Mus musculus: one gene and its partner. The protein of the gene in region 1 purifies or fractionates together with the protein of each later gene. This does not show direct contact. Links are inferred from orthologs where the notes say so. Each region holds a gene or a part of one and is shown in the gene's direction. Other genes may lie near its edges. The genes, in order: Pop7 and Rpp40.

Region 1 (3,301 bases):
GTACACTGCATGAATCAGCTATGCTGGCCCACACCTGTAATTCCCACACTTGGCAGCGGGAGGCAGTTGAGCCAACCTTCAAGGGCACGCTCACTGAGTTTGATGCCAGCCTGGCTGTGAGGCCCTTTCTCCAATGGCTTGGTGTACTTGAGTGTTTCTGAGTTCTCTATTTTATTGATTTTTGTATATATACACCTGCCAACAGCACACTTTTCTTAATGACCGTATTTGCATGGTAAGTCTTAAGGGGCTGGCAAGATGGATCAGTGTGTGAGCTGTGAAGTCCTTGCTGTGTGAGCCTTTGCTCCTCAGAACCAATATAAAGGTTGAGGAATCGACTTCACAACGTGTATGGTCCCTGCACTGCATACACACAATAGCCATAGCTTTAAAAGTAAATATATATTTTTAAATTTTTATATATGTGCCTGTGTGTGTCTGGGCACACACACAGGCCAGAGGAGGGTGTCAGGTCTCCTGAAGCTGGACTTAACATTCAACATGGGTACCGGGAACAAACTCGAGTCCTCTTCAAGAGAGTCATCTTGAAGAGCAGAAAGTGCTCGTAATTGCTAAGACAGTTGAGTCCAACAACGTTACAAAATCATTTTATTCAGTCTATTTATTTGCCATAAGTTTTAGGATAAGTTTATTAAAATGGTGCAGTCGTGCACACCTAAAACATTAGCGCTGGGGAGGCCAAGGCAGGAGCATGAGTTCTAGGCTAGCCTGAGCTACATCGTTAAACCCTATCCCCACCCCCACCCCCCAAAAAAAGATTTTTTGGTTTATATGTGCAACTCTTCCTGAGACTCCTCTAAATGTTCATTAAATATATAGATCAGCTCGGAGTAAACTGAGGTCTAGCATGTCAAACCTTCCATTTTAACCTAAATCCTAGAAGTTAGGGATGTATCTCAGTTGAGTGAGTCCCTGCGGTTATAACCCTGGCACTCACAAGGTGGAGGCAGGGGGATCAGAAGTTCAAGGTTGGCTATATAGCAGAGTGCACACTTCCCTTTCCAGCCTTCAGTCAGATTCAGCCTAGGTAAGTGGCCTGGAGATGTATCTAGGACGAAGCCCCAAAGCAGGCTTCACGCCTTTCTGCAGGGAACGGTCCAAATGCTTTACCATTGCGGGCAGAGATCCAGATTCCCACTAACTTTCAGGGGCTAGGAACCCAAGCACTGCAGTTCCTGTCCCTTCCGCCAGGGAGCGGCCGGTCATGGCTTGCCGGTCGCGGGAAGCAGCTCGAGTGCGGCGGGACAGTTAAGAGGTGTGGCGGGAAGCTGCCAACACTTGGCACCTCATGTGGGTCCCTCGCAGAGGGAGGAGTCCATCATGGTGGACACGATCCCTTCGATTTCTCGGCTTCCGGGGCTGTCAGGACGTCGGGCGGGAGGTCAGCTGTCAACTCCACTGCTCAGAAGTGGGATGGACGTGGACTACAGGCTTCCGGCCCCTGCGATCCCAGCTCCAATGCTGACCCGGGGTCGCTGCCCGAACCCCCTTTTCCAGCCCTGCTTCCCGCCTCGATCCTCGAGTCCCGCCCTGCCCGGGGAGGGGAGAACTGGGCGATCCACGCCACGCCCCTCTTGGGCCCGCCTCTGTCAATTAGCCCCGCCTCTGCTAGCTAGTCCCGCCCTTCGAAGCGCTCACTAGAACCCTGCGAACCCTCAAGTCTCGCGAGCCTTAAATCGCCTTGCGCACGCGCACGAGGAAAGGAGGCGGAGAGTACGGAAGCCTAGAAGGCCATAAGCTTATCGGTTCCGGCTTGGAGCGGGGACGCGCGTGCGCAGTGCGTAGCCCTTGCTGGCGAGCCTGCCCGGCGTTCCTCTTCCGATCCCTTCTCCGTTCTTCTTCTGCATATCGAGGCCAGCGACGTCCACTTGGATCGGTCGGCGAGGCTCACGCGAGTGAAGGGCACTGAGGAAGGAAGAAGGTAGGCGTGGACACGCCGGGAATGGGAACCACGTGATGAATGAATTAAAACTGGGAGTGGAGAAAGCGGAAGTGGAAGGGCTTGAGACACTGGGAAGGAAGAGGGTGTTGAGGGCGCCCCCTTCTGGTTGCACCCTTAGAAAGCCGGGCAAGAAAGGATTCTCCTGACCTCCCTGAATCTTGTTCCTTCTCCATGCCAGGACTCAGAGCATGGCAGAAAACAGAGAACCCCGCTGTGCCATCGAGGCTGAGCTGGACCCTGTGGAGTACACCCTTCGGAAGCGACTTCCCCACCGCTTGCCCCGGAGGCCCAACGACATTTATGTCAACATGAAGACTGACTTTAAGGCCCAGCTAGCTCGCTGCCAAAAGCTCCTGGACGGAGGCACTAGGGGGCAGAACGCATGCACTGAAATCTACATTCATGGCTTGGGCCTGGCCATCAACCGGGCCATCAACATCGCCCTGCAGCTGCAGGCGGGCAGCTTTGGGTCCCTACAGGTGGCCGCCAATACCTCCACCGTGGAGCTGGTGGACGAGTTGGAGCCAGAGACTGACTCTCGGGAGCCCCTGACGAGGGTCAGGAACAACTCAGCCATCCACATCCGAGTCTTCAGGGTCACGCCCAAGTAACTGAAGGGAGGCTGACTTGGACCCACCAAGGCTTCTGAGCACACACATCCATGTGGCCGAGGTTTCTAGTGCTTCATAGTGGCTCTTGTTCTGAGTTCTGTCCTGAGCCTCTTGTTACCTTGTTACTTCAGCCTAGAGGACTGAGAATGGAGAGCCCGAGAAGTGAATCTTCCTTGTCCTGTATAATAAATTATTAAGTTGTGTTGGTGCCGGGCTTCGAATGGCCTCTTTTTCCTAGTGTAATTCTGTGTGTACTTGAATAGGAAAATGGTAGGAAAGAGCAAGTATATAGGCCACAGTAAGGCATCTCACATTGAACCACAGTATGACGGGAATCAAATTTGTTGAGTGTAACACGGAAGCTTAATTGTTACAGTGTGCTCTCAGGAAGATGAGAGAGTAGACTCATCGACTGAGCTAGCTACAGCTGGGATGTATCCGGCTCTCATGGTTCCCAGGCTTGGGAAAAGAGAAGGTTTAAAGGTGAGGGAAGTTCTTTGTGGATATAACTCAGCAAAGGAATCGTGACTAGTGAGTGTTACCTAGTTGCCTAGCATAGGATTAGGCCAGAGGTTCAATTCCTAGTAACCACAAGAATTATGACGGGGGAGGGATGGGGAGATGGCTCAATAGGCAAGGCACTTGTCAAATAATCATGAATATTTGAATCAGCAGAACTCATTTTTCTGCGGAGCATTGCAGCTCTTGAATCCAATTCCCATGCTTC
Region 2 (4,611 bases), on another chromosome or scaffold:
AAAAAATGGATGTTTTTATCTTTTACTTCTCTTATATTTATATAATTCATTATTTAAGATTTTCTATTATTGAGATTTCCCCCTTCTTTTAGTTTTTTTCCCCCCACTAAACCCTTTCTCTTTTCATGTCTCCATCCATGGCACACTTTCTCATCCCGCTTCTTTCTTTCATTTAGGCTTGCTTTCGTTTTCTTGCTATTTTCCCATTTACCCTACATAATCATTACATTCCTAGCATATTCTACATTAGTATTGTAAATTTCTGTTTCATGGTTATTAGTAATATATTGCTGAACCTCAGTAACTTTGGGTGTATTTCTATATCTTCCATTTTGTTACTGTCTCAGCAATGTGTTGTCTCCTTTATGAGTAACACCGGGGAATGAGTCTCGGAGAGTAGGGTGCTCAGTAAGAACAACAGCGAAAAACATCTCCAAATCAACACAGGTCAACACCACACACAGAAACAAAAGCATGAATGAAAAACACAGCAACAGGAGTCCTCCAAAAACAAAATCAATTATCCCAGAGTGGTGGTTCACATCTTAAATCCCAGCACTCAGGAGGCAGAGGCAGGTAGATCTCTTTGAGTTTGAGACCAGCCTGGTCTATATATTGAGTCTGAGGCCAGCCAGGATATATAATGAGACCCTGTCTCAAGACAAAATAACTTAACACCTGGATTCAATGATACTGAAATAGGTAAAATTCTGGGTGATTTCAGAAGTTTCCTAGTAAAAATACTTTAAGACCTCAAAAAAGATTGAAGCAAAAAGATTAATTCAATCTTCCCTAAGGAAGGACCTGGAAAGTCTGCTGTGCACACACGTGCACGTGCGCACGCATGTGTGTGCACACACAGAGAGTAAAATAGATGAGAAAAATCAACAATATGGCTTTTAAGAATTAGCTATGGGGGCTGGAGAAATGGATCATTGGTTAAGAGCACTGACTGCTCTTCCAGAGGTCCTGAGTTCAATTCCTAGCAACCACATGGTGGCTCACAACCATCCATAATAGAATCCAATGCCCTCTTCTGGTGTGTCTGAAGATAGCAACAGTGTACATGGAAGTACAATTCAGCAAAGAAACTGAGATTTGGAGTAAAATCACAAAATAGTAATGTTGGAAATGAAAAAAATAAATTAAATAATTAAAAACAAAGCAAAGAAGTTCTGTTGGAAGTAAAAATGCAGAAATGTCATATTATATTCCTCTGTAATTTCCTATACTTTTTGGGAAGGATCAGTGGGAACTTAGGGGCCTGCGGGTGGGTGAGCATTAGGAACGAGACCATATGAGGAGTCAGGAAAACAGTGCTGCAAAGCAGATGTATTTCCTGACTATACTAGGCTTTTCCTCTGTCCTATCTTCCTCCTTTTTATAAGGTGTCAGGGTCCAGTCCTTCTCTGAGTCCTGTCCAGGTATATGCACTGTTCCTCCACGGAGAAACTGTGGGATAGAATGGATGTGCCAGGTTTTTTCTTTCTTTCTTTCTTTCTTTTTTAAGATGCGGATGGTTGTGAGCCAACATGTGGTTGCTGGGATTTGAACTCAGGACTTTTGGAAGAGCAGTCAATGCTCTTACCCGCTGAGCCATCTCACCAGCCCCATGCCAGGTTCTTGAGAACCTTCAGACCCAGTGCCTGCAGGAACTGACAGACAGGGAAAGAAAGAAGGGTTAGGGCGTGGTGGAGGGAGGGGTGTAGTCAGAAAGGGGCGAATGGTGGGGTGAGGGGCGGGCCGAGGGGCGGGCCGGGAGGCGGGCCAAGAGGCGGTGCTCGCCTGGACTCCTGCTTAACATGGCCACGCTGCGCAGGCTGCAAGAGGCGCCTCGGCACTTACTGGTCTGTGAGAAATCCAACTTCGGCCACGATAAGTCTCGCCATAAGCATCTCGTGGAGACGCACTATCATAATTACAGGGTGAGTCAGGTCCACCCGGCCCTCTTAGGCTGGAGAGCTTTAAGGTAGAACCACGCCGGGTTTCACCCGGCCAGACCTCCTCGGCTTGCGAGGGTGGGCGGAGATCGTCCTCGGGCATGCTGGGAACTATAGTCTCTTCAAGTTTCTTAACTGCTTTTCTTGGCGCTGTGTAGGACTACAATTCCCAGCATGCGCCAAACACAGGGCGGTGCTCGGTCCTATGAGGAACAGCAGAGTTTTTGTGAGTTTGGCGTGGTTACTGCGGTGTTCAGGATTAAATCCTCTCGGTGTTGGGTCGAGCAGGCAGTGGAGGAGTTAGGAATGTAACCTGCACGGTCGGAGTGTGACCTGTACAACATGTAGCCGAATTACACCCTAAGTTTGGGCAGATCTCTGTGGATCAGCTTGTGACTCTTTCCAAAGCATCACGCGGTTTGACAAACGAGGAACTCCAAATAAACTTACCTTACGATGATAAGGGTTTAAGCATTTTACATCTTAAATATTGGCCTGATGGATTTCTCAGATAGATTAGCTGGCGTCCTTGTCCCTCAAGGCTGGTTGTTGGGGCTTTGCGAAACGGACTTTAGATGTTCACTTGGGGATCATTTGAAATCCGCGCGGATTTTGCATCTCTTCGGTTGAAAGGCCATCCCTGCGGTCAGGGATGTATCGCTTATCTCAACTGGTCTCACCTAGGTTTGTCTAGGAAATGGAAGCTTCCAGGAGCACTTTTGCTTCTATGTAGCTTCTTACTAATTAAATGTCCCTAAATCCCAGGAGGAGTTCCTTTGATTTCATGACTCCAGAATAAGCAAATCAAGGCATGTTGAATTATATATACTCTATTTCCTTGACTATAAAGTGTGAAAGACATAACATATATTGCTTGTATGCAAAAATAAGATTCAAGTAAGACTTCCATTGCAATGTCATGCCTCACATTGAAATGCAGAAAGGAAAAACTTGAGTAGTCAGATATCTGTTTACTTGAAATTAATAGAATTGTTGCCTAGTAGGTTGATGGTGATGCACACCTTTAAACCCAGGCAGAGGTGGGTAAATCTCTGAGTGCAAGGCTAACCTGATAAACAGAGCAAGTTCCAGGACAGCCAGGGCTACATGGAGAAACCCTGTCTCAGGGGTAGGTGGTGGTGGCTGTGTGTGTGTGTGTATGTGTGTGTGTGTGTGTGTGTGTGTGTGTGTTTTACTAAGGGTTTTACTGCTGTGAACAGACACTCCAACAGTGACCAGGGCAACTCTTATAAGGACAACAAGGTGGGAGCATGGCAGCGTCCAGGCAGGCATGGTGTAGGGGGAGCTGAGAGTTCTACATCTTCATCTGAAGGACACTAGAAGAAGACTGGCTTCCAGGGAGCTAGATGAGGTCTCAAAGCCCACGCCCACAGTGACATACTTCCTCCAACAAAGTCACACCTACTCCACCAAGGCCATCCCTCCTAATAGCACTCCCTGGACCAAGCATCTTCAAACCATCACATTGCCCATGTTTGCGTGTCCCTTCTATGTCCCAGTAAAACCTGTGAAGGAGTAACTAGCACCTTTGACATTCCATTTCCAAAAGCATGGTGTTAATCTTCATAAAATATAACTTCGTTTGTTCTTCTACATTCTAATAGGTTTCATTTCTTATTCCTGAATGTGGGCTTCTATCAAAAGAGCTAAAAAGCCTGGTCATGGACATTGGACCCTATTACTCTGTGAAGAACTTACCTCTTCATGAATTAATTACACACGAGTTCATCAACACCTTTGTAAAGAAAGGTAAGAAGAAACACTGTCTCATATGAACAAGACAAGATGAAGAGCTATCGGAAGATCGCAGCAAAATATTGGGGTCCTTCCCTTGTCTTTAAAAGGGCCCATGGAAGTTAGATCATGTGATCAGCTGCGTGTATCACTTCTCCACCCGGCCATATTGTCGTTTTCTTTCCTGTGTCCTCTTTAGGTGGCAGCTAAATATCTTACCAAATTTAATTAGCCCTTGCAATAACTCAGGGAAGTAGGTGGAATCCCTTTAGATGAAGGTTAAGTAGCTTTTGAATATTAACTTTCTCAAATAGTTTCTGAATATTAACTTTGATCCTTGCATCAGTGTTTTGTCCTCTTGCCTCTTTAATGTGCACCTTTCTGCTAGGATCCCCAAGATTACAGGTTCTGTTCTGAGCCCATTCTCAACCTGTTGATAGGAAACTTGCACAAAAAGCCCCTGAATGTGGCCTGAGTCCTGGGGTGGTCTAGCTGGAGCCTTGCATGTATATGTTCCAGTGTATCTCTGGGGTGTAGTGGGTTTATTGAATGAGTTAGAGCTGTAGTAGATGCTGCCTGTTACCTACCTGGAAGATTCGTTGTCACGTGAAAACCATTCATAAACAAATGTTGTGCTACTTTAGTTACTTAATTACTTTTCTTGATTTTTCTTACAGGTTCATTCTCTGCATTAACATACAATACAAGTATTGATGAGGATAATACTGTTGCTCTCCTACCAAATGGTGACAGCATTCATTTTTTTTTCTTCCTTTCTTTATTAGAAAAGAAATAGCACTGCTTAAAAAAAAAAAAGTAGGCTAGAGAAATGGCTCAGCAGTTAAGAGCACTGACTGCTCTTCCAGAAGACCAAAGTTCAGTCCCACTTGGTAGCTTACAGCTATCTGTAACTCCA

The links.
Region 2: the proteins of Pop7 (region 1) and Rpp40 purify together in Homo sapiens (co-immunoprecipitation; 4 studies listed by BioGRID and IntAct, with this or other methods). This does not show direct contact. The link is inferred for Mus musculus from reciprocal best matches to the Homo sapiens genes POP7 and RPP40.

The regions. Positions count from the first base shown.
Region 1 is NC_000071.6:137,500,920-137,504,220, reverse strand, and holds Pop7 (ribonuclease P protein subunit p20), read left to right. Parts: upstream 1-1,791; 5' UTR 1,792-1,942; intron 1,943-2,141; 5' UTR 2,142-2,151; coding exon 2,152-2,574; 3' UTR 2,575-2,782; downstream 2,783-3,301. UniProt on the Homo sapiens protein: Component of ribonuclease P, a ribonucleoprotein complex that generates mature tRNA molecules by cleaving their 5'-ends. Also a component of the MRP ribonuclease complex, which cleaves pre-rRNA sequences.
Region 2 is NC_000079.6:35,903,518-35,908,128, reverse strand, and holds the start of Rpp40 (ribonuclease P protein subunit p40), read left to right. Parts: upstream 1-1,781; 5' UTR 1,782-1,802; coding exon 1,803-1,925; intron 1,926-2,101; exon of another isoform or gene 2,102-2,145; coding exon of another isoform or gene 2,146-2,166; intron 2,167-3,565; coding exon 3,566-3,710; intron 3,711-4,372; coding exon 4,373-4,441; intron 4,442-4,611. UniProt on the Homo sapiens protein: Component of ribonuclease P, a ribonucleoprotein complex that generates mature tRNA molecules by cleaving their 5'-ends. Also a component of the MRP ribonuclease complex, which cleaves pre-rRNA sequences.